Rattus norvegicus: one gene and its partners. The protein of the gene in region 1 purifies or fractionates together with the protein of each later gene. This does not show direct contact. Links are inferred from orthologs where the notes say so. Each region holds a gene or a part of one and is shown on either strand. Other genes may lie near its edges. The genes, in order: Ebna1bp2, Rpl11, Nop56, Ncl and Nop2.

Region 1 (4,264 bases):
CCTGCTATTCCCTAACTGCATCTGAAGGAGCACATCTTGTTCCCCACAACATTTCCCAAACATAAGCCTAGCAGATGAAAGCCAAGATAACTCCAAAGAACTAGAGAATCCCTTCGCTTCTAAGGCACTGATACGCAGGTTTCCCTACATTCTTAGCAGACAGACACGCTGACCTTTCTGGTACTTCTTGATGGCATTCATCATATGCGCTTTCTCCTGCTGCCTCTTCTGAAGGACCTCAGTTTGCACCTGTGAGACAGATACATGGTTAGTCCTGCATCCCAAACCGTGACTCCAGACACTGCCAGCTCAGCCGCCGCTACCACACTATGTTGGATACACCCAGGTGTGCCACAGTGCCAAGTGAACCTGTGTTTGGGGACACCAGCAGACACTTTATCAGGATCAAACATGCACAGGGCCAGAACCAAACCCCACCACGATCAGCCCTGGCGTGCCCGGCGGTGCCATTCCACACAGGTGCCCTTTCTCACCTTCTTTCCGTATTTCCTAAGCGCTCGAAGTTGCTTGGCCTTTTCAGATTTCTCCATGGCAGCCTGTTTAGTCTGCAGCTTCTGTCGAATCTAAAGCACGGGATGTTGTTAGGCACTATCTGGAGCACACTAGAAGGGGGCTCCAAGTTTTACTAGCTCTGAAAGCTTCCACATTAAGGACAATACAGTCCTAAAGCTGAGTGTCAGTGGGCAGCCACTGCTGAGAAGCGGCCCTGCCTCTCCAGACAGGCATGTTCCGTCACAAAGCTGCCTGCTTGTCACACAGGACCTGTTTCCCCAAAGACTAAGGCTAAACTTGAGCCTTCTCCTCTAATGGCCCACCTATGTAATAAAGTTCCTGCACACTCACACCTTGCCTCTTCAATCACACACACACTGTACTGACAGTGTTTGTTATCAGTGTGACTGTGAGAGAGAGACGATCTGTGCTCGTCTCACACGGGCAGCTTCTTGGGGTACGACCTGTAATTCTCTAAGATGAAGACTGAGACCAATGGTACAATTTAAATACATCCTGGGTGGGACATTGAGTTTTTTTCTCCCAAAGTTGAATGAAGATCAAATCCCCCTAACTCTAAATCATACCATATCTTAGCTAGATATCAAGCCTTCAGTTCTAGAAAGCTAAAGGCCCAGAGAAGAAAAATCGGTCTAGAAGCAATAGTATTCTTGGCATTGCTGGACCCAGAACTATAAGACTACTGTGTCTGTACCATTCCACTCACCCTGCCAGAGAGGAAATACACAAGCCTTCTTATTGCAAGGACCACACTTCTTCCAGACCGTCTCTCCCTAATTTATCTAAGTGACTGCCATGCCTCTGAAGCAGAGACTATAGAAATACTAGTTACAAATAGTATAAATCTTTGTTTCCTTTTTGAAAGACTACAGGAAATGAGCCAGCTGGAACGAATAGACTTCAGGAGAAACCTCCGCTTTCCAGAGGAAAAACTTACCTTTTGCATCTGTTGATCAGACTTGGCCATTTCTGCAAAATAATCAGTGGGCCTCTTCGTAGGGACTTGGAGCTGGTGGAGTCGGGGTAATACTGCAAGCACAGCAGCCTGGGCCTGGCGGTAGCTGAAATTACAGGACAGAGTGAAATGAGGGGAGGGGAGGGAAGAGGCATTCGCTTCTTCTTACTGCCTCTCAGAAGTTAACTAACCTCAGAGCTGTCGCATCCCACCTTCACTGGCAAGATAAAACAAACGAGTCAACTAAAACTCCACTAATTTCGTATATAACTGAAATTTCACTTTATGTTTATTTAGAAAGGGAAAATACTTCCAAGAATAAGAAGGTTTAAAACGAGCTTATTAAAAAATATTGAGCAAACTATGAACTGTTTCCCAATCGTTACAGAAAGACCACTCAAGCACTCCCTAGGCAAAGGTCTATTCTGACGATTGGAGGCACCCAGACTTCAAATGAATTATTTTTGAAACATCCCTCAAGCAGGGTGCTGGTTAAATGGTGACCAAGAATCTATTCTTTCAACCAGAGGAACCCCCCTAGCTCCACTCTCTTGGCTCATGCTAACTCCCCAGTGCCCCTGAGGTTGCAGACACACTAAGATCCTCCTTCTGTAACTCTGTAGAAGGACCCACAACAAACGTACAAACTCATTTCCCTCTGGAAGTCGTCTTCTGGATTAACACCTTTCTTCTGGTCCTTGTTCTGGGGTGTTGACTGAGTTTCACTGGCTTCAGGCACAGGACCCAGGGTCACATCGAGCCTTTCAACCCACTCCAGATCCCGTTTGAATTCAGCCAAGCACTGCTTCAGGCCATTCTAGATAAAGTCAGACACGGCACTCATGAGAACCGCGACTCTGTCTCCCTCAAACCCAAAGTCCTATGCTCAAATACCCGCAAGGATGACGCCCGCTGCGCAGGGGTACATCTGTCCCACAAGAATCGGTCTCCCAAGAAGCACAGCGCCTGTGCACATCCCGTTCCAAGGACCCCGACCCTCGCACGAGCTCACCTCGTCATTCACCGCCTTCTTCGGCTTCTCTAGCACGACATTGAGGCCTGGCTTTAGGAGTCCGCGGGAAAACGCATCCTGCAACTATAGACCGGGACGCCTCAGTACCGAAGAGCTAAATAAAGTTCCCGTTCCACCCCCTACCCCGCTAGCGTCTACCTCTTGATCTGAGGCCAGGCACTCATCCGACCCGGAGTCCGAGTCTGAGAGCGGAGGGGTGTCCATCTCGCGGCTTCCCGCCCCGCGAGGTTCGGCTGCCACTCCACGTGCCAGCAAGACGCACCAGCGCCAGCAACTTCTCCACTAGCCTCTGGCTTTTCAACAAGTACTTCCGCTTCCGGGTGCAGAGCCAAACTTCCGGTTTTCTCGTTGCTATAGGAACTGCTCTGGCGTTTGGGCGTGCCCGGATTGCTCCGGCTCTTTAGGAAGAACACCTGCGGGTCGCTACGTTGTATAGTAATCCAGAGTCGTGAAGCAAGAGGTGAATAGTTTCTCTGGGGTCCACCTAAAGGCCTGGAGGCGTTGGGAGTGCATGGGAGGAAGGCAAAGCTTGGAAAGAGCCCCGGGAGTGGGCTGAAGAGGAAGAGGAGCCTGGGGGCGGGGCGATGGAGGGGCGAGGCGGGGTCAGGGTGGGGCGGGCCCAGGGTGGGGCGGGGCCATGGGTGGGGCAGGGAGATACACTCTTATGTCTTTACTCCCACCCGCCTGCCTCTTTTTTTATATATTTGGTTGTGAGCCTAGCCTTTAACGGCTGGGCCATCTCTCCAGCCCCTCTTTTTTTAATCTTTTACAATACTCTTTGACAGGTACCATGTCCACCGTGGTAGCTCAGTCGCTTCATGTTTTTGGTCTTCGGTCTCACGTGACCAACAACATCTTCTTCTTCGATGAACAGATCGTTATATTTCCTTCAGGAAATCACTGTGTGAAGTACAATCTAGATCAGAAATGGCAAAAATTCATTGCAGGTAAAAAAAAAGAAAAGAAAAGAAAAGAAAAAAAACCCACCCTTCCCATCCTGACACATACATTTAAAGGCATGTGCTGCACAGAACCGCACAATCTCAACGATTGGGAAGATCTTTTTTTTTTTTTTTAATAACTGGGTTATCCACATAGTTTTATAAATGCAGACAAAATAAATGTCGATTTACACTGTTTAATCTTAGATTAACCCAACTCAAGTAGCCAGAATGACACATAAAATAACACTCATTTTAAAAGTACTTTTTCGGGTTGGGGATTTAGGTCAGTGGTAGAGCACTTGCCTAGCAAGCCTAAGGCCCTGGGTTCGGTCCTCAGCTCCGAAAAAAAGAAGAAAAAAAAAAGTACTTTTTCACAGTGACAAAGAAGAGTTATTTTAAACAGTGGTTTTTCTTGCATTCTCCTGCAGTCGGGTTTGTCCTCACCAGAAACCTCTTTTGAGTCTAATAGTTTCGAGAGTTCATGACCTTCATCAAACCCTCGTATGATGGAGACACTGGAAATTTTATCTTAAGTGACAAATAACCTCCCTTAGAACCTACCTCCTGTTTTCTGTTTACATTAGTCTGGGCATTGATATTCATATTTCCCCACTTTTTTTGCATTGACCATTTTTATTGCTTCATATGCATATGTAATAGACCACACTACATATATGTAATCCTTAATGAGTTACTATTACATAAAGACCTGTGCCCCCAGACACCCAGGATCAGCCAGTTTCAGAGCTTCTTCATTCCGCTCAACCCATCCCCACACCCACACCAGCCTATCTTGGG
Region 2 (4,166 bases), about 16 Mb from region 1:
TGCTAGCAAGCGCTCTACCACTGAGCTAAATCCCCAACCCCCTGAAGTACCTATTTTACACAAGGGGAAAGAAAACAGACTGAAATCATTTAAATTAGTAACTAGTAAGTTGAATTAAAACCACACCTGCCTGTATTCACAGCTCAGGACTCTATTTTCAAATTTTATTTAGCATTTATTAGTTTATCTATATGAAAAATTTTCCCCCCGCACATGTGTTCTTGCAAGTGTGTGTCTGGCGTCCTCGGGAGGAAGGCAAGGGCATCAGACTGTAACAGCTGATTTAAGCCACTACGCTGATTAGTATAACTTCTATGTTAACATTGTTACAAAATAAATGCCCTAGAATCTGTACAGTTTATCCTTTTACTTATGTAAACGAGTGTTCTATCTGCATGTACACCTGCATACTAGAAGAGGGCATCAGTTTAGTTGATTGTGAGCCACCATGAGGTTGCTGGGATTTGAACTCAGGACCTGTGGAAGAGCTGTCAATGCTCTTAACTACTGCACCATCTCTCCAGCCTCAGCTTATTTTGAAAATTTTGCTTATTTTTTTTTATTTATATGGGTGTTTTGCCTGCCTGCCTGCATAACCTGGTGCCTGTAGATGCCAGAAGAGGGATCTGTCTCCCTGGAACTGGAGTTACAGCCAGTTTTTTTTTTTTCTCCTTCGGAGCTGGGGATCGAACCTAGATGCCTTGCGCTTGCTAGGCAAGCGCTCTACCACTGAGCTAAATCCCCAACCCCAGCCAGTTTTGAAATACAGCGTACATGCTGGGAACTTTGCAAACCAAGGTCCACTTAAAGTACGGCTATGACTCTGTTCTTGAAGTGATGGACTCAAGAACATACCAGTCTACCTGGTTTTCAAAAGACCTGGTCTTTAGCCCGAGATGACTGCAGTTCCGAGGACGATCCACTAGAGGAGGCAGCGCCAAGACAACCGTGCCTCTCTTTCCCACTCTCACCTCGTTTGTCAGCCTAGGAGAAAAATCCCGCCTCCTGACCCATAAGGCCACGGGGCCGGAAGTCCCACTCTCTCTTCCTGTTCTCCACCATGGCGGTGAGTAGAGCAAGAGTTGCTTTTGCCTCTCTTTCATCCATCTCCATCCGCGGCCGGCGGAGCCCACGAGGGCTGTTTCGCCGGTGGCTGGAGGAGGACGGAGCCCGCGATGCTGGTGGCATTAAGACCGGCAGGGCTGTGCGGGCGCAGGGCTCGCCCGTCACGTCGCCGCCCATCGTAGGAATGGGGCTCAGGTCAGCGGCCCCGAGGGCCCAGACGCGGGGTCTGGGGGCTTCCGGGAGCGCGAGCGGAATGTGCCGAGCTCTCTGTCGGGTCCCAGCCCAGGGGACTTGAAGCTTGTTTGGTGCTGGGGAGCATCTGCGGGTCCCTACTCAGGACTGGTGCTCGCTTGCAGACAGCTTGGGAAGGAGGAGGGCAGGTCGCGTAGGCCGATGTTTCCTGTAGTTTGTCATTTTAAGGTTACATTGTATTCTCTCCTGTCTGATTGGCTTTCTATAAGCTCTTGTGTCTATTACCCAGAAACATCGACCGCCTTAGCATTCAGGCTTACTCAGTGCTCCTCCGCCCCAAACACTGAGACCTTTTTAGTCCTTAGTCCATAGGATTCGGGACCGTAGAGATCAGACTGGAGAAGACATTGGCTTCTCGACTTTGACGGCTGCGTTTACTCTTTTCTGCAGCAAGATCAGGGTGAAAAGGAGAACCCCATGCGGGAACTTCGTATCCGCAAGCTCTGCCTCAATATCTGCGTGGGGGAGAGTGGAGACAGACTGACCCGAGCAGCCAAGGTGTTGGAGCAGCTCACAGGCCAGACCCCTGTGTTTTCCAAAGGTGAGTGGTGATGGGCTAGCCAGAGAGGCGTGGATGGAAGGCCTCAGTCCATCTAGCCGGAACAGGAGTGCGAATAGGGAGCTAGAGTAGACGTGTAGTATTCCGCCTGGTTGACAGGTAAGAACAGGGTTAATACATTACACTGCTGGGGTGAGAGACTATCCGTTCTTATTCTTAATATTCATGTTCGTATCTGAGTACTCTGTTTGCTTGACAGAAGAGGGCGTGAGATGTTGTTATAGATGGTTGTGAACCACCATGTGGGTGCTGCTGGGATTTGAACTCAGGACCTCTTTAAACCACTGAGCCACCTCTCCAGCCCCCTATCAGTGCTTCTTAACTTTAGGCTCTACCTCAGCTTCCTTAAAATGAATTCTGATTCCCTTGTGTGGCCACATGGGAGGTGTTAATGTGCTTGAAACATGGGGTCTGTTGGGAGTGTGGTTATAGGTGGTCTGTTGTTGGGATTGGATACCCTTTCTTAGTACCACCGGTGAGCCTGGGCTAGTTAGCCTCAGGACATCTGGACAGTCGGCCTTTTGAAAATACTAGCTTTTACCAATGTCAACCTCCCAGCTTGTCCCTTCCACACCCCATTCTGGATTTTGAATGCAGGTTCCTGTATGATAGAGCATAATGTTAAGCTAGGCCTGGTAGCCTATGATTGTAACTCCTGTACCCGGACTGAAACAGGAAGATTGCTCCCAGGTCAAGGCCAGCCTGGGCTACATTTGACATTCTCAAGGAGTATTAACGGTGCTAACCTTTGTCTCTGACTTGCCTAATGTCATGAACTCTGGGGATTGTAATGTTCTTAGCTGAAGTGCGGCTGGGGACATTAGAGCTGGAAAGCTCTGTTCTGTGTTGGTGGGTGAGGTTGATTAACACGTTAGATGCCGGGCAGTGGGAGTAAAATGTTACCTACCTCTCTGTTCCCTTCTTGCAGCTAGATACACCGTCAGGTCCTTTGGCATCCGGAGAAATGAGAAAATCGCTGTTCACTGCACTGTCCGTGGAGCCAAGGCAGAGGAGATTCTGGAGAAAGGCCTGAAGGTGAGGTGGGCTGGCCTGGAAGTGGGGAACATTTGATGGATGATGAGAGATGATTTGGTTTAAGGGAAGGGTTGCCTGTTCTCCTGGCTGGGATGCACAGAGTTTTGGTTTTGCTCCGGACCTTCTGGGTGTTGGTCTGAGCTCATACTATGCTCTTTAAACACAAGGAATAACCTGGTTGCTCTTTATGTCTCCTCAGGTGCGAGAGTACGAATTACGGAAGAATAACTTCTCAGATACCGGCAACTTTGGCTTTGGGATTCAGGAACACATTGACCTAGGCATCAAATATGACCCAAGCATTGGCATCTATGGCCTGGATTTCTATGTGGTATGTGGAATGTGGACTTCTTGATCCCAAGCTGCCTGTGGGGAGAGGGCCTGCTGCTCCTCTGTCTGTTGTCCGCACATGCTGTCTTGCTGTTGGGATGTAGTGCTGGGTTGAAGTCTGTGTCTTGTCTGCCTGTGTGTCCCCCTTGAGAGAAGGGCCTTGTTCTAGCAAGTGTACAGGTTCAACCACACAGGGTTGACAGGTCTCTGCTGTGCAAAGCTCTCTGGGAGAAACCTGTGCTGCCTTTGTCCCTGGCATTGGCTACCCTGTCTCCACTCATCCCTAGTCTCTGGCACACGTGAGTTCTGTGGGGAAGACATGGAAACAGACTGTGCTCAAGTGGGGTTTTCATGTGGAAATGACTCTGTTACCACAGTGCTTCTGTGAGAGCAAAGAGCCAGACGTAAAAGTGAGACCTGAGGGGGAGGTCGGTTAGGGCGGCAGAGCTCTGGGCAGCTTCTGAACCAAGGGGGTGAGTGTGCCTTTGTGCCTTTGGGTGCTTTACATTTCTTCACATTACACATGTTGAAGGTTTTTGTTGTGAGGCAGGGTCTTTGGTTTACAGCCCAGGCTGGCCTTGAACTCCCTGCATGTTAGTATTACATGTGTGTCTGGTGCCTAGAGGCCAGAACAGGTCAAGGGAATCAGATCCCTCTTGAGACTGACGTTACAAGGCTGGAGACCAGTTGGGGAAGGAGCCTGCAGGGCATGTGTGTTCAGAGCTTGGTGTGTTGTCCGGGTAGCTAACGACACTTCCGTCCAACAGAGGTACTGGTCTTGCTTCAGAATCTGTTAAGTTTCTGGATGACTTGAAGATCGGTCTCTAATGTGTGAGTCTTGTCTGTCCACTGGTGACCCGGCCCTAGGCTGGCTAGATGACTGTTGGTTATTCTGGCACAGGTGCTGGGTAGGCCAGGTTTCAGC
Region 3 (4,307 bases), on another chromosome or scaffold:
TCTGTAAACAATACTGAGATTATTATGATTTAATCAGTAATGCTTAATATAGATTTATAAGTGCAATAAAATGAACTATGTGCTTCCAATTTTTTGCTGTTGAAACACTTTACTCAGAGGGCTGGGGAAAACCTGGAGAAATCCTGTCTGCTGTCCTGCATGGGGCAGACCTTGGAGATCTCCCAATCTCTCTGTGCTTCAATATTTAAAATGTTTATGTGTATGAGCATTTTGCCTACATGTATGTGTGTGTACCACATATATGGCTGGTACCCGTGAAGGCCAAAAGAAAGCAACAGATCCCCAGGAACTGGAGTTACAGGTAGATGTGAGATGCTATGTAGGTGCTGAGAAGTGGACCTCGGACCTCTGGAAGAGTCATCAGTACTCTTGACCACTGAGCCATCTCTCTACCCGACGAATGAATTCAGTAAATTCACTGAGTTGAGAAAACAAATCAGATACAACTTATAAATGTGCCTTATGGTTATAAGAATTTTCAAAATCCCTTTAGGAGTTGCAGTAGAGTTCAGCTGGTGGAGGCCCTGCCTTGAATTCGCTAACAGATACACAGGACTGGTAGAGGTTCAAAGAGCATACACGTAGTCAGCTACAGAGCCGCCAGAAGGTGGGGGGGAGGGGTAAGGAAGGGAGGAAAGGGAAGAGGGAAAAAGGAAGAGTGAGGAGGTGAGGAAGGATGAAGGAAAGGAAGAGGGGAATGGAAAGAAAATGAGGAGGGAAGGGAGGTAGAGGAGAATCCCCTTAGCATTATTATTTTCTTTAAGGCACAGACTAAGAGGCAATCAAGTTTGGGACTTAAAATGCTAAAACTAAAGTTATGTGGGTTTTTTTTCCTCTTTAAAGCAAGAGTAATTTTAAATTAGATACCTTGGTGTGCCAACAAATGACATTGTTAAACAAGAAAGCAGCTTCTTGGAAGGATTCAGGGCCCACTCAGCCATGAGCACCACGTGGTGCCGAGCAGAGCTCGGTTCTATGAAGCAGGGCAAGGAAGAGAACTAGCAAGAGGTAAACCGCCATTATCTACGCCACTGCCCGCACCAACACTTTTTTGAACAACAAAATTTAAGAGGAAGACGCAGGCAGCAAGGAGCCGCCATTTCTGCAGCGTCGGGGACCGGGTCCCAGGCGGAAGGCGAGGACCAGGACTGTCTGGGCAGCGGGAAACCGACAAAGTTCATCAGGGAGCCTTTCGTTCCCTCACCGAGTTCCGCCTCCCGGCACATGGGTAAAAAAGCACGAAAAACGGAGAAGAATGATCTCCAGGCTCTGCGGCCTGCCGGTAAGACCGGCGCCATTCATTCCCGACACAGTCTCAGCTCGCTCAGGCTCAGAGGCCCAGATGGGCAGGCCCGCTCGCGCCCGCGTAATCCAACCCGCCCGACGGACGATACCACACCCGCAAATCCCTCCGAAGACCTAGTAATGGTTCCGTCCCCAGCCTCTGATTGGTCCAACAGGAGAAGGCGTGGCCTCCGCAGTCTGGTTCCGCGCGCCAGAGCGCGCTACCCGCATTGCGAGCTGGGCACGGAGCAGGCGCCATGGTGAGGAGTGGTTGTGGGTTATTTGCGTTGTGAAGGCCTCAGTGTGCGTCTGGGTTTGCATTCAGGTTTGGGCTCGGAGTTTGGGCCAGGGCCTGCTCTAGCAGCGGCCCAGCGGACTCGGAAGTTTGACTAATGGCCGCGCGCCGGTTCCCTTTTCAGGTTCTGCTGCACGTGCTCTTCGAGCATGCGGTCGGCTACGCGCTGTTAGCGCTGAAGGAAGTAGAGGAGATCAGCTTGCTGTTGCCGCAGGTGAGTGGAATCGGTGGGCTCGTGGTGCTGCAATGCAGCCCCTAAGGCCGCCAAACCCCAGCATGCACCGCGTGTTCCCACGTGGCCGACCGCACCGAACGGGGAGGGGGGCAGAGCTGTAGAACGAGGGGACTCTAAGGCTAATCTATATAATAGGAGAGGTTGTAGATCAACATCTCATACTCTCATTTCTTAAGAATTAGAGTCCGGATGCGGGCCTAGGCACCAATTGCTACAACAGCTGGTGTTCCTGCTTTACTGCGCGGTAGAGGCCAAATTCAAAGAAAGCCCATTCATCCTCTCCACAGGTGGAGGAGTGTGTGCTTAACCTTGGCAAATTCCACAATGTCGTTCGTCTGGTGGCCTTTTGCCCCTTTTCTTCATCCCAGGTTGCCTTGGAAAATGCTAATGCTGTGTCTGAAGGTGAGCTCCCCCCCCCCCCCAGGGATGCGTGTTTCTGAATGGCTGATGATTTTCTTCTAAGCTTGATAGATTCTAGGCATTATTTGAGACCTACAAGATGGCAGTTTAAAACAGTTAAATGCTTCACAATTGTGCTCCCGGACCTGTGGTTGAGTCAGGCTTTGCAATGATGACTTGAAAAATCTGTCAATCCCCTGAGTGATCGATGATGACTCCATGTTTCTGAGCAATGCCTGAAGGGATGGGTGTTCCTGTATGGTCGGAGTGGAGGCACAGTCCTTCCTCTGTTACAGTTGGGACATTCTTCGTCGCGTTAAGAGCTGTGTTCTTTGTTCCAAGGTGTTGTTCATGAGGACCTCCGCCTGCTCCTGGAGACATACCTGCCATCTAAAAAGAAGAAAGTACTTCTGGGGGTCGGAGACCCCAAGATCGGTGCTGCTATACAGGAAGAGTTGGGGTACAACTGCCAGACTGGTGGTGTGATAGCTGAGATCCTTCGAGGTAAGAGTCCTGTTCAGTGTGTTGCCTCTACCATGTGGATGAAGTACCACAGAGGCCAGGAGAGGGGCTGCTGGTTTCTAGTAAGCAGCTATGAGTGGTTATGTGGGTTCTAAAAGGTCCTTAACCATAGTCCTGCCTTCTTTTTAGGGGTTCGTCTGCATTTCCATAACCTGGTGAAGGGTCTGACAGATCTTTCTGCTTGTAAAGCCCAGCTAGGGCTGGGACACAGCTATTCTCGTGCCAAAGTTAAGTTTAATGTGAACCGGGTGGACAACATGATCATTCAGTCTATAAGCCTTCTGGACCAACTGGATAAAGATATCAATACCTTCTCCATGCGTGTCAGGTAAGGTGCAGAAGCCACCAAACACTGGTTTTCTTCGGCCTAGTTTAGCTAATGCAAACTTAAGGTCAAGCAAGGCTGATAATTTGTGGGTAGAATCATGGACCAAAGCCAGGCCTCCTTGTGCTTACCACAGGCTGTGTTCCTACACTGACTGTATAGAAAGAGGAGGCAGAATAAACTACCCTGTGTACACCTCAGCCTAGGCCACCATGCCTGGTCTGTATTGTGAATGGGTAGACAGTGATTTGAGGGAGCCTGGGACCTGAGATCAGGTTTGACAGCTGGGTCAAGGTGTGATTGTCCCTCTGCAGGGAGTGGTATGGGTACCACTTTCCAGAGCTGGTGAAGATTATCAACGACAATGCTACATACTGTCGCCTGGCTCAGTTCATCGGGAACCGCAGGGAGCTAAATGAAGAAAAGTTAGAGAAGCTGGAAGAAATTACAATGGATGGAGCCAAGGCTAAGGCCATTCTGGATGCCTCTCGGTCCTCCATGGGTCAGTGCGGAGCGAGGCAGCCCGTATAAGGTACGAGGCTCCTTGAGTATCTGGTCCCCCTGTTCACACTAGGTGTTTCCTAGGCATGGACATATCTGCTATCGACTTGATAAACATCGAGAGCTTCTCCAGTCGTGTGGTGTCTTTGTCAGAGTATCGCCAGAGCCTACACAATTACCTTCGCTCCAAGATGAGCCAAGTAGCCCCCAGCCTGTCAGCCTTAATTGGGGAAGCGGTGCGTCATGGGGAACACAAAAGTGGGGGAGTAAAACATAGCATTCTGTACCGCTATACTTGTGGCTAGCATGCTGTCCCTAGTTGTTGCATGGTGGGGAGGAGGAGAGGGGAAAGAGTGGTAGGTCAGGTTTCTGTCCACTCACCTGCCCTCCTTGGGTCTCTCTCCAGGTAGGTGCACGTCTCATTGCCCATGCTGGCAGCCTCACCAACCTGGCCAAGTACCCAGCATCCACAGTGCAGATCCTTGGGGCTGAAAAGGCCCTGTTCAGGTACCAGTGAGGGCGCCTGCCCATGTCAGGTGCTGCTTCTGGTGTCCACTGCTTTGTTTGGGGATTACAGTGATGGCTGACCAGGACTACCTGACCTATAGAGGCCTCTACTATGGGAGTGATGGCCAGTCCTAGTGTCTGAGTGATTCCCAGGGCCCAGCAAAAAGGGACCAAGTTTCCAGGTCAGCAAATTGAATGCCTTCCCTCTCTGTCTCTGG
Region 4 (4,007 bases), on another chromosome or scaffold:
ACCTATCTCAAAAACTCCAATCAAGGGGTTGGGGATTTAGCTCAGCGGTAGAGCGCTTGCCTAGCAAGCGCAAGGCCCTGGGTTCGATCCCCAGCTCCGAAAAAAGAACCAAAAAACAAAAAAACAAAAAAACAAAAAACTCCAATCAAATCTTCTAGATTGGGCCGGGCGTGACGACGCGGGTCGAGGCTAGCCTGGTCTACACAGTGTGCTCTAGGACGGCCAGAGCAAATAGTGAGGCCCTATCTCAACCCCCACCAGCACCTCCACAGGTAATTTTTAATCGATATTGTCAGCTGATGAGGGCACCCGTTTGCTACGCTTGGAACCAGTTAGTGGCAATCCGTTTAAAGCAATCCAAGACAACTCTCTCGTCCTCTGCCACGGAGGGAACTCGTGAGCGGTCCCAGGCAGGCCGAGTACTTCTCCCACCACACACCAGGAAGTCACCTCTCTGAACCTGGAGTTATACCTACCGCGTGAGGTCAGAGATTAAATGGACTGTTTGTGCACTGCTCACACACACACACACACACACGCGCGCGCGCGCGCGAAATTGCTTTTATTAGGAGCTCTCAGGAAAGTGGTGGCTCGCATCAGGCTACCACAGCCAAGAGGACCGCCACCTCTACCGAGGGCAGGCCAAGGCCCACTAAACGGCCCGAATGAACTCTAGGCCTTCCGGCGCTCTCCAGCTCTTCAGCGCGGCGAACGTTCTAGGCCCCTGAGAAGTCCACCGGGAGGCGCAGGTTTCCGCTACGCAAGGGAAATCCCCGAGAAATGCCCAGACCACCTAAGCACAGACGTCCATGCGGCGTACGGATACCTGAGGGAATCCGGGCCATACCGCCACCTACTCGCGCCTCACTCAAGCCGCGCCAAACTCGCGCGTTTCACTGCGCAGGCGTGTAGCGAGCGGGCGCTCAGGAACACTCAAAGGACCAGCACACTGACCAATCAACGTCCGCCTTGGCCAAAACTAGTCCCGCCCTCAAAAGCAGACGTCAGGCCCTGCCCCTAAGAGCCCCGCCCTCCCCCACGCTTTAGGCCCGACCCACGCCGTCCTGGGTTAAGGCTCGCGGTTGGTTCGGGGGACGGACGCGAGCTCTGGTTGGTGGAGGTGAGGTCACGAGAACACCTTCGTCGCCTTTCCAGAGGCGATTACTGGGCAAGCTCAGTCTTTTGCCTCAGACGCTAGCTGTAGCTGGCAGGCGGTTGTACGTGCTCCAGAGTCTTCATTACCCGCCGATCCAGTCGTCTTCGCGTGGGTTCCGCTAAGCTCTTCTGAGCTGCTCGCTCTCTACACACGCCGTCGCCGTAATCCGCCATCATGGTGAAACTCGCAAAGGTAATAGGCCTGACGCGCGAACACGGACGACTAGGCCTGCTTTCTGAGAGACGCGCGCGCGCCCGTCGCGGAGGGGAGGAGGGCCTGCGCACAGTCCCGGGCGCGTTCGAGGGCGCCATGCTGAGGGAAGTCTCGCGCGACTAGCGGGAGGTCTCGCGGTGTTTGGCCTCTGACTTGAGGGATGAGAGGAGCCGAGGCAGGTTCTGGGAGGGCGATGTAGAGTGCACCGGGGCCGGGGGTCGGTGTGAGGGGAAGTCGGAGGAGTTGAGCGCGGAGAGGGGGTTGGAGGCTCGGCGAGTGAAGTGGGCCAACCTTAAGCGGCTAGCGCTCTCGGCCCCGCCTCCCGGCGCACGTGCTCCGGTGCGCGGCCCGCCACGTGGGTTACGGCGCTCCGCACGTGTCGCGCGTCCGAGGCAGTGAGGGGAGTGGGAGTACACCGGGAAAGGGGACAGTAGAGTTGGCCTAGTTACCTAGCGATCCGCAGTCCCTGACCGTGACGGGTAGATGGACACGTGGTGGGCTCCTGAGGTAGCGCGTGGTGACCGGCTAGGTGACTCCACGTGGTTTGGCTGTAAGCGTGAGAAAGTAGGAAGTAGCTCCGATACAGAGATGCTTTTAAGAGGTGCCTTCGAGATAACCCCCTTCCCCGGCAAATAGTTAAAATGGAACCTTTAACTGGGTTTTTTTCTTTTTTGTGGAACGTGCCAGAAAATAAAGTGCCACGACTAAGTAGACTTTAAAAACCTGTGGCTGTTTCCTGGTGAAGGTTTCTGTCTGTAAGACAAATTATGCGCAGTTCTCAGAAAAATTTGCCAGGAAGAGTGTCGTGCCTGGCCACGAGAAGTCTTTATGCTTGTGTTCTTTAGTAAGAAAGGAGGTGGTGGCCGAGGACAAAGTGGCTTACAATGCGGGTGATTTTTTTGTGTGCATTTGTAGGCCGGCAAAACCCACGGAGAGTCCAAGAAAATGGCTCCTCCTCCAAAGGAGGTGGAAGAAGATAGTGAGGATGAAGAAATGTCAGAAGATGAAGATGACAGCAGTGGAGAAGAGGAGGTAGGATGCTATTTGAAAAATTGTGTGATTTGCAGTGGTAGATTGACTGGAAGTGTCAGAAATAACAGTCAGTTCGGGGGGGTGTCTGGGCAGAGTTTCGTATGTTGTATTGAGTAGAGTTTACTGTAGATTTGTGGGGTGGTTTTCCCTCCGTTTTTGGGAAAATTGCTTATTCTAGCCTAATTTTTATTCAGTCCATGGTCACTTGGCTTTGTGAATTTTGGCAGGACATTATGACAGGAAGCTGTAGACCAGCCTAACCTCAGATAGGTTCTCCTGAATTAGGTGTTAGCCACAGTATCCAGACAAATGACAAGTTTAGTGAGAAACCCAGACTTTGATCTAGGTAGAGATGGAATCAGGGTCTCAGCTTAGGTGGTACCATGTGAGTTTTTTGGGGTTACCCCCCCTTCTATATATTAAGGGACTAAGCTGGACACTTTAGAGGAGAGGGTAGCCTTTTTAGATTCTTGTTCTCTAAGCAAAATTTATTATTCCCCGTATTCTTTATCTCACATGGTTTGTTTTTGCAATACTGGTCCCTATCACTGAGCTTCAGCTTATTTGAATCTTAATTCCAATCATTGTTCAAAATACATTGTATGGGTAGAAAGCTGCTAATAACCCATTTGCTAGATATGACATTCCCAAGTTTCATTTAAAGACAATCTAGCACACAGGAGACAGAAATAGGAGTACATAGTGAAACCTTATCTCAGGACAGTTTTTATGGTCATGCTCAATCAAATTTCTTAGAAAAGCTCAGGTGCTGAGTTAAGAGTCCAGTTTTTTAAGCATTGAAGGCCATGTATCCTTATTTAAGGGTTTAATGTTTATCTTTATGTGTGTGAGTGCATTAAGCATGCTTGGTCCCCTCATGCTAGAATAGAATGTACTTGGATATCCTGAAACTGGTATTACAGCTACATGTGGATGTTAAACTTGTTATAAGAGTAACAAGTGGGGCTGGGGATTTATTTAGCTCAGTGGTAGAGCGCTTACCTAGGAAGCGCAAGGCCCTGGGTTCGGTCCCCAGCTCCGGAAAAAAAAAAAAAGAGTAACAAGTGCTCTTAACTTCTGAGCCATCTCTCCAGTTCTTTACTTTTTAGAAACATATCTAATGTCTATCTTGTGTTAGTAACTTAACATAGCATTGGATATAGAGGAATGCTTATGATTTGTTTGCTTTCAAGGTTGTCATCCCTCAGAAGAAAGGCAAAAAGGCTACCACAACTCCAGCAAAGAAGGTGGTTGTTTCACAAACAAAAAAGGCTGCAGTTCCCACACCAGCTAAGAAAGCAGCTGTTACCCCAGGCAAAAAGGCAGCAGCCACACCAGCCAAGAAAGCTGTTACACCAGCCAAAGTAGTTCCAACACCTGGTAAAAAGGGAGCTGCACAAGCAAAAGCATTGGTACCAACTCCTGGTAAAAAGGGAGCTGTCACTCCAGCCAAGGGGGCTAAGAATGGTAAGAATGCCAAGAAGGAAGACAGCGATGAGGATGAAGATGAAGAGGATGAAGATGACAGCGATGAGGATGAAGATGAAGAGGATGAATTTGAGCCACCGGTAGTAAAAGGAGTGAAACCAGCAAAAGCAGCTCCTGC
Region 5 (4,255 bases), on another chromosome or scaffold:
GGCTGGCTGCCTTCTGGACCCTGGCTTCTCCCCACCGTGCGCCTGTTACAAACTGTTGTGGGTTCTGCCAGGCTTGAAGAAAATGATCTGAATTTCTTCCTCTTTTTGGTTTTATTTTGTTGGTTTACTTTGTGTTTTCTCCTTTTGGGGGGTATTCAGAGTGGGCCGGGCCCCTGGGTGAGACACAGCTACCTCTGTTGGCACCTTTTTAATACCAGGAACCCAGCGGCTCCAGCCACTGAGCAGCTAAAATAAAGTTGGAAAAAAAAAAAAAAGAAAAAGAACCAAAAGCATAAAAAACCACAGCAAATTTCTTGATGAGAACTGAAAATAAAAGTTTCCTTGTATTTTAGTGATCTGGTTCTATGTGGGTGAGTGTGGGTTCCAGATACCCCAGGAACTGGTTTAATCCCTGAAGACTGCAGCCTGTGTGCCTGTGCTTCTGCCGGGATGACAGTCTGTGGAGAAAAAGGCTTCTGGGCCATCCCTTCATAGGCTCTGATCTCCCTTGCAAATTGTCTCCAGAGCCCTCCTGCATGAAGTAGTCACTTGCCTGGCAGAGTTGTTAAGACATTGGGCAAGCAATCTATCATGGAAACATTTTCTACACACACAGACATACATATACATACATAAATATTTCATTTTATTTTTTGAGACCAGGGTCTAAATACAGCCTGTCCCTGCCTCCCAAGTGTGGGAATTAAGGATGTGTTACCATACCCTCATCTTTCTCAGTGATTCACCTTCCCTTAGTTTATTGTTACTGGTTTTTTGGGACAGGGTTTTTTGAGTAGTTCTGGGTCCAGGAATTCCAGGCTGCCTTCAAAACTCGTGATCCCACCTGCCTTTACTCCCAGAGGGCTAGGATTAGAGTGAACTACTACTCACTTATATAGTTTGTATATAGTATTACGTTTACTACTGTGCACATGGAGGTCAAAGAGCAGCTTGTAGGAGTTTGTTCCCGACACCCACCATATGTGTGGATTCTGTATTCAAAACTCAGTTCGTCAGGCTTGGCAAGCGCGTTTATCCGCCAAACCATCTCTCGAGCTTGTAAGGTTTTTAACTCTAATACTGCTTTGAAGGAAGGACGAGTACGTTTTGCTAAGTGAAAAGGGCTGGAGGGAGGATTACCTCTAAGGAAAGCAGCTCTAATCTTTGGGAACAGGAGGGCGGAGGCGTGGGATCCCGCGATCTTGAGGTCTAAGGCAATTAGGGTGCCAGGGGGCAAGCTCTAGGTGGAGGGAGCGTGCGGCCTTAGGAGTAACAAGCAGGAACCCGCGGGCAGGAGCCAACTCCCGAACTGAGGGCAGAGAAAGCACGAGCGCGTAGCGGGGCGTTTACCTCTGTGAACCGCGGAAGGTGCGTGTTCCTGGATCAGGTCCGTTCCGGTGCTGCGGCAGGAAGAGGCGGGGCGTCGTCCGGAAGCTTTGCGCGTAGTTCACTTTCGCGGTGTGCTGCCTCTGAACTCTTCCCCAAGTGCACGTGGAGCGGGCCTTGGCTGGAGGCACTGGGTCTGCCGGAACCAGTCCTAGGCAAGCCGAGCCTTCAGGTGCGTCCGCAGGATTGAGGAGCAGGGTTTCGACCTGAGCTTCTCGAGAGGGGCGTGGTGACGAGGTCCTGTGGGAGAGCCTGGAGGACATCGGCGTTCCGAGCACTGGTCCTGGGCCAGGCGGTGCTTCGTCCCAGATAATATCCCTAAGCCTGCGTTCCCTTTTCAGCATCCCCCAACGTCGCCTTCCCTCATTTTTCTTTGCTCTAGTTATCATGGGGCGCAAGTTGGATCCTACGAAGAAGGAGAAGCGTGGGCCCGGCCGAAAGGCTCGAAAGCAGAAGGGTGCAGAGACCGAACTGATCAGATTTTTGCCTGCAGGTGAGAGTCGTAGCTCCCTGATCCCGCCCAGCCTTTGCTCCATTTTGTGTTATAACTTCTCGTTTGCGTGTCCGCTTTTACCTGTTGCATAGATGTGAGTTGTTAGGAAATAAATCGCCCGTGTTAAAGAAGGTAGCATTGGGAGTTCGTGTTCTATTTGAATGGAAGGTGCAATATATAGACATTGGCAAGCCACAGGCTCATGAAAGAGATCCTTAACTCTGTGGACACATGGTCTCACTTCATCGAATTTTAGAGTCGTGGGAGAGAGGCTCTGTTAGGTCAGGTGTCTTACACATACTAAGTGAAGAAGGATTTGTTTCTGTAATTTCTCTTAAAAAATAACAAAGTTAAGTTCTACTTTATTTAGTTGATAAATGAATAAGCTGAGACTAAGAGGAGGGCAGAAAGGGGGGTTTGAGGTTACATTGTTATCAGATGACCCTGCTTGAATTTGGTTGCTGACCAATCTGATGACTGCTTCATCTCTTCTACATCTTTTGGTCTTTTTTAATTTTCTGGAAGTGATGGGGATAGGATGGGCTTTCCTCATACTCAGCGCAGGTTGTATATTGGCCTTTCCTTAACATCTCGATGTAACTCCTAGTTCAGTGTTACAGAGTGACTCCCAGAGTCTATAACCTTATGGCTTTCCCGGTGCTGTGGGTGTACTAGGGGGCTTACACATACCTAATGCTATCACTGCCACACTTTAGTTAATGTGGTAATCTCTTCCTGATCACATTCCTGCCCCAGTTTGTTTCCTATCACTTCCTAATCTGCTCCTTTTTAACAATAAAACAGCTGGTGATGAGAATTTCAAGAGGCTGTCCAGTCGTGCTCGGAAGAGGTGAGTGGATGCCCAGGTGTAATGAGGATTGGAGTTGCTTGACCCATGGGTGAAGAGGGCTGGTCGTGCATTGTCTTGTTTCCTTGTGGTGGGAGGTGGCAGAACCCACCCTTGTGTTCCCTTGTCTTCACTTTCTGTCTTCTTTCAGGGCGGCCAAGAGGAGGTCAGGGTCTGTTGAAGTCCCTAAGCCAAATAAGTCTCCTGGGATCAAAACATTGCCTGGAGAGTTACCCAAAGGTTAGTGAACATGGGAGTTGGCTGCTCTGTGAAGAATCGACTGGCTCTTGGAAAGGGCTAATTGTTTCTACAATGGAAGGAATAGCAAAGATCTCTTTTTTAGACCTCTTCTTGTTTGTTTGAGATGCTGAGGTAGTTTAGTGGTTAAGAGACAGGTTTCTCTGTGTAGCCCTGGGTATCCTTGAAGTTACTTTGTAGACCAGGCTGACCTTAACTCACAGAGATCCAACTGTCTCTGCCTCATTTATTTTATGTGCATGAATGAGTGTCTTGCCTGCGTGTATGAATGTGTGCCATGTGGCTGCCTGGTTCCAGTGGAAGTCAAAAGAAGGCACCAGGTCCCCTGGAAGTAGAATCCGTACCATGCGAGTGCCAGGATGACGGCTCCTAGCCTGGGTCTTCTCTCCAGCCCTGTCTTTACTGTTACTCGTTTGTGTCTGCATGTGTCTGCGTGCTCATGAGTGGAATGCTGAATGCACTCGGGGATGGAGATGGGTCCCTATGAGCTGTCAGATGTGGTCTAGAAAGTTGAGGCTCGGGGGGTGTGAGGCAGGTGTGTTTGCTGTCCACTCAGGGTCTGGCACACCCTACCGTTTTTAGGAGCAGTCCAGGTTCGAGGTAAGAAGCGTCCAGCACCAATTCAAAACAGTGATGGGGATGAGGAGGAAGACTCTGAGGAAGAAGATGTGGTGACCCAGGGGGAACTTTGGGGCTCTGAAGACAGTAGTGAAGATATGGTGGACGACTATGGAGCGGACTCGGAGGATGAGGAGGAAAAGGTGAGTCACTTCTGGGTATTCTCAAGTAGATCTTTCTGTTTATTTGAGCTATTGTCCTACTGTGTAACCCTGGCTGTCCTTGAACTCAGAGCTCCTCTTGCCTCTGCCTCCTGAGTGCTGGGACTAAGGGTATATGCCACCACACCCAGCTTGTTTGTTCTTTTGAGACAACGTATCACTGTGTAGCCCTGGTTGGCCCAAACTCTCAACTGTGTAGCCCACAGGCCTCTTAATTTACAACTGTCATACTTTAGCCTCCTGAGTGTTGGGATTACAGGTGTTTGTTACCATGCCTGACTGAATCTTAGCCTTTTAGTCCCCAGACTGGCCTAGAATGTGTACTCCTCCTGCCTAGGCCTCTCAAGTGATGGCACCAGGGTGTGTGCTACCATGTCTAACTTGCTTTTTAGCTTTCCAAACTGTAGGCTCCTTGAGAGACAAGGACAGTCTGAGTGGAGTAAAGGGTTCTGATGATCCATCTCAGCCCTCCCAACTTTGAAAAGCACTGTC

What was found.
Region 2: the proteins of Ebna1bp2 (region 1) and Rpl11 purify together in Homo sapiens (affinity purification with mass spectrometry; 3 studies listed by BioGRID and IntAct, with this or other methods). This does not show direct contact. The link is inferred for Rattus norvegicus from reciprocal best matches to the Homo sapiens genes EBNA1BP2 and RPL11.
Region 3: the proteins of Ebna1bp2 (region 1) and Nop56 purify together in Homo sapiens (affinity purification with mass spectrometry; 4 studies listed by BioGRID and IntAct, with this or other methods). This does not show direct contact. The link is inferred for Rattus norvegicus from reciprocal best matches to the Homo sapiens genes EBNA1BP2 and NOP56.
Region 4: the proteins of Ebna1bp2 (region 1) and Ncl purify together in Homo sapiens (affinity purification with mass spectrometry; 3 studies listed by BioGRID and IntAct, with this or other methods). This does not show direct contact. The link is inferred for Rattus norvegicus from reciprocal best matches to the Homo sapiens genes EBNA1BP2 and NCL.
Region 5: the proteins of Ebna1bp2 (region 1) and Nop2 fractionate together in Homo sapiens (co-fractionation; 3 studies listed by BioGRID and IntAct, with this or other methods). This does not show direct contact. The link is inferred for Rattus norvegicus from reciprocal best matches to the Homo sapiens genes EBNA1BP2 and NOP2.

Annotation. Positions count from the first base shown.
Region 1 is NC_086023.1:137,432,070-137,436,333, reverse strand, and holds the start of Ebna1bp2 (probable rRNA-processing protein EBP2), read right to left. Parts: upstream 2,801-4,264; 5' UTR 2,727-2,800; coding exon 2,661-2,726; intron 2,586-2,660; coding exon 2,502-2,585; intron 2,307-2,501; coding exon 2,134-2,306; intron 1,596-2,133; coding exon 1,472-1,595; intron 585-1,471; coding exon 495-584; intron 250-494; coding exon 174-249; intron 1-173. Other genes in the region: Cfap57 (cilia- and flagella-associated protein 57), read left to right, coding at 3,313-3,469. UniProt on the Homo sapiens protein: Required for the processing of the 27S pre-rRNA.
Region 2 is NC_086023.1:153,558,002-153,562,167, reverse strand, and holds the start of Rpl11 (large ribosomal subunit protein uL5), read left to right. Parts: upstream 1-1,365; 5' UTR 1,366-1,707; coding exon of another isoform or gene 1,708-1,734; coding exon 1,735-1,858; intron 1,859-2,804; coding exon 2,805-2,911; intron 2,912-3,110; coding exon 3,111-3,242; intron 3,243-4,142; coding exon 4,143-4,166.
Region 3 is NC_086021.1:137,928,673-137,932,979, forward strand, and holds the start of Nop56 (nucleolar protein 56), read left to right. Parts: upstream 1-1,506; 5' UTR 1,507-1,562; coding exon 1,563-1,565; intron 1,566-1,724; coding exon 1,725-1,814; intron 1,815-2,122; coding exon 2,123-2,237; intron 2,238-2,398; exon of another isoform or gene 2,399-2,467; intron 2,468-2,576; coding exon 2,577-2,738; intron 2,739-2,885; coding exon 2,886-3,084; intron 3,085-3,195; exon of another isoform or gene 3,196-3,327; intron 3,328-3,395; coding exon 3,396-3,583; intron 3,584-3,666; coding exon 3,667-3,818; intron 3,819-3,988; coding exon 3,989-4,089; intron 4,090-4,151; exon of another isoform or gene 4,152-4,237; intron 4,238-4,307. UniProt on the Homo sapiens protein: Involved in the early to middle stages of 60S ribosomal subunit biogenesis. Required for the biogenesis of box C/D snoRNAs such U3, U8 and U14 snoRNAs. Part of the small subunit (SSU) processome, first precursor of the small eukaryotic ribosomal subunit.
Region 4 is NC_086027.1:94,453,281-94,457,287, reverse strand, and holds the start of Ncl (nucleolin), read left to right. Parts: upstream 1-1,204; 5' UTR 1,205-1,330; coding exon 1,331-1,348; intron 1,349-2,284; coding exon 2,285-2,401; intron 2,402-3,594; coding exon 3,595-4,007. UniProt on the Homo sapiens protein: Nucleolin is the major nucleolar protein of growing eukaryotic cells. It is found associated with intranucleolar chromatin and pre-ribosomal particles. It induces chromatin decondensation by binding to histone H1.
Region 5 is NC_086022.1:159,617,516-159,621,770, forward strand, and holds the start of Nop2 (probable 28S rRNA (cytosine(4447)-C(5))-methyltransferase), read left to right. Parts: upstream 1-1,450; 5' UTR 1,451-1,558; intron 1,559-1,768; 5' UTR 1,769-1,773; coding exon 1,774-1,879; intron 1,880-2,683; coding exon 2,684-2,729; intron 2,730-2,877; coding exon 2,878-2,966; intron 2,967-3,566; coding exon 3,567-3,745; intron 3,746-4,255. UniProt on the Homo sapiens protein: S-adenosyl-L-methionine-dependent methyltransferase that specifically methylates the C(5) position of cytosine 4447 in 28S rRNA. Required for efficient rRNA processing and 60S ribosomal subunit biogenesis.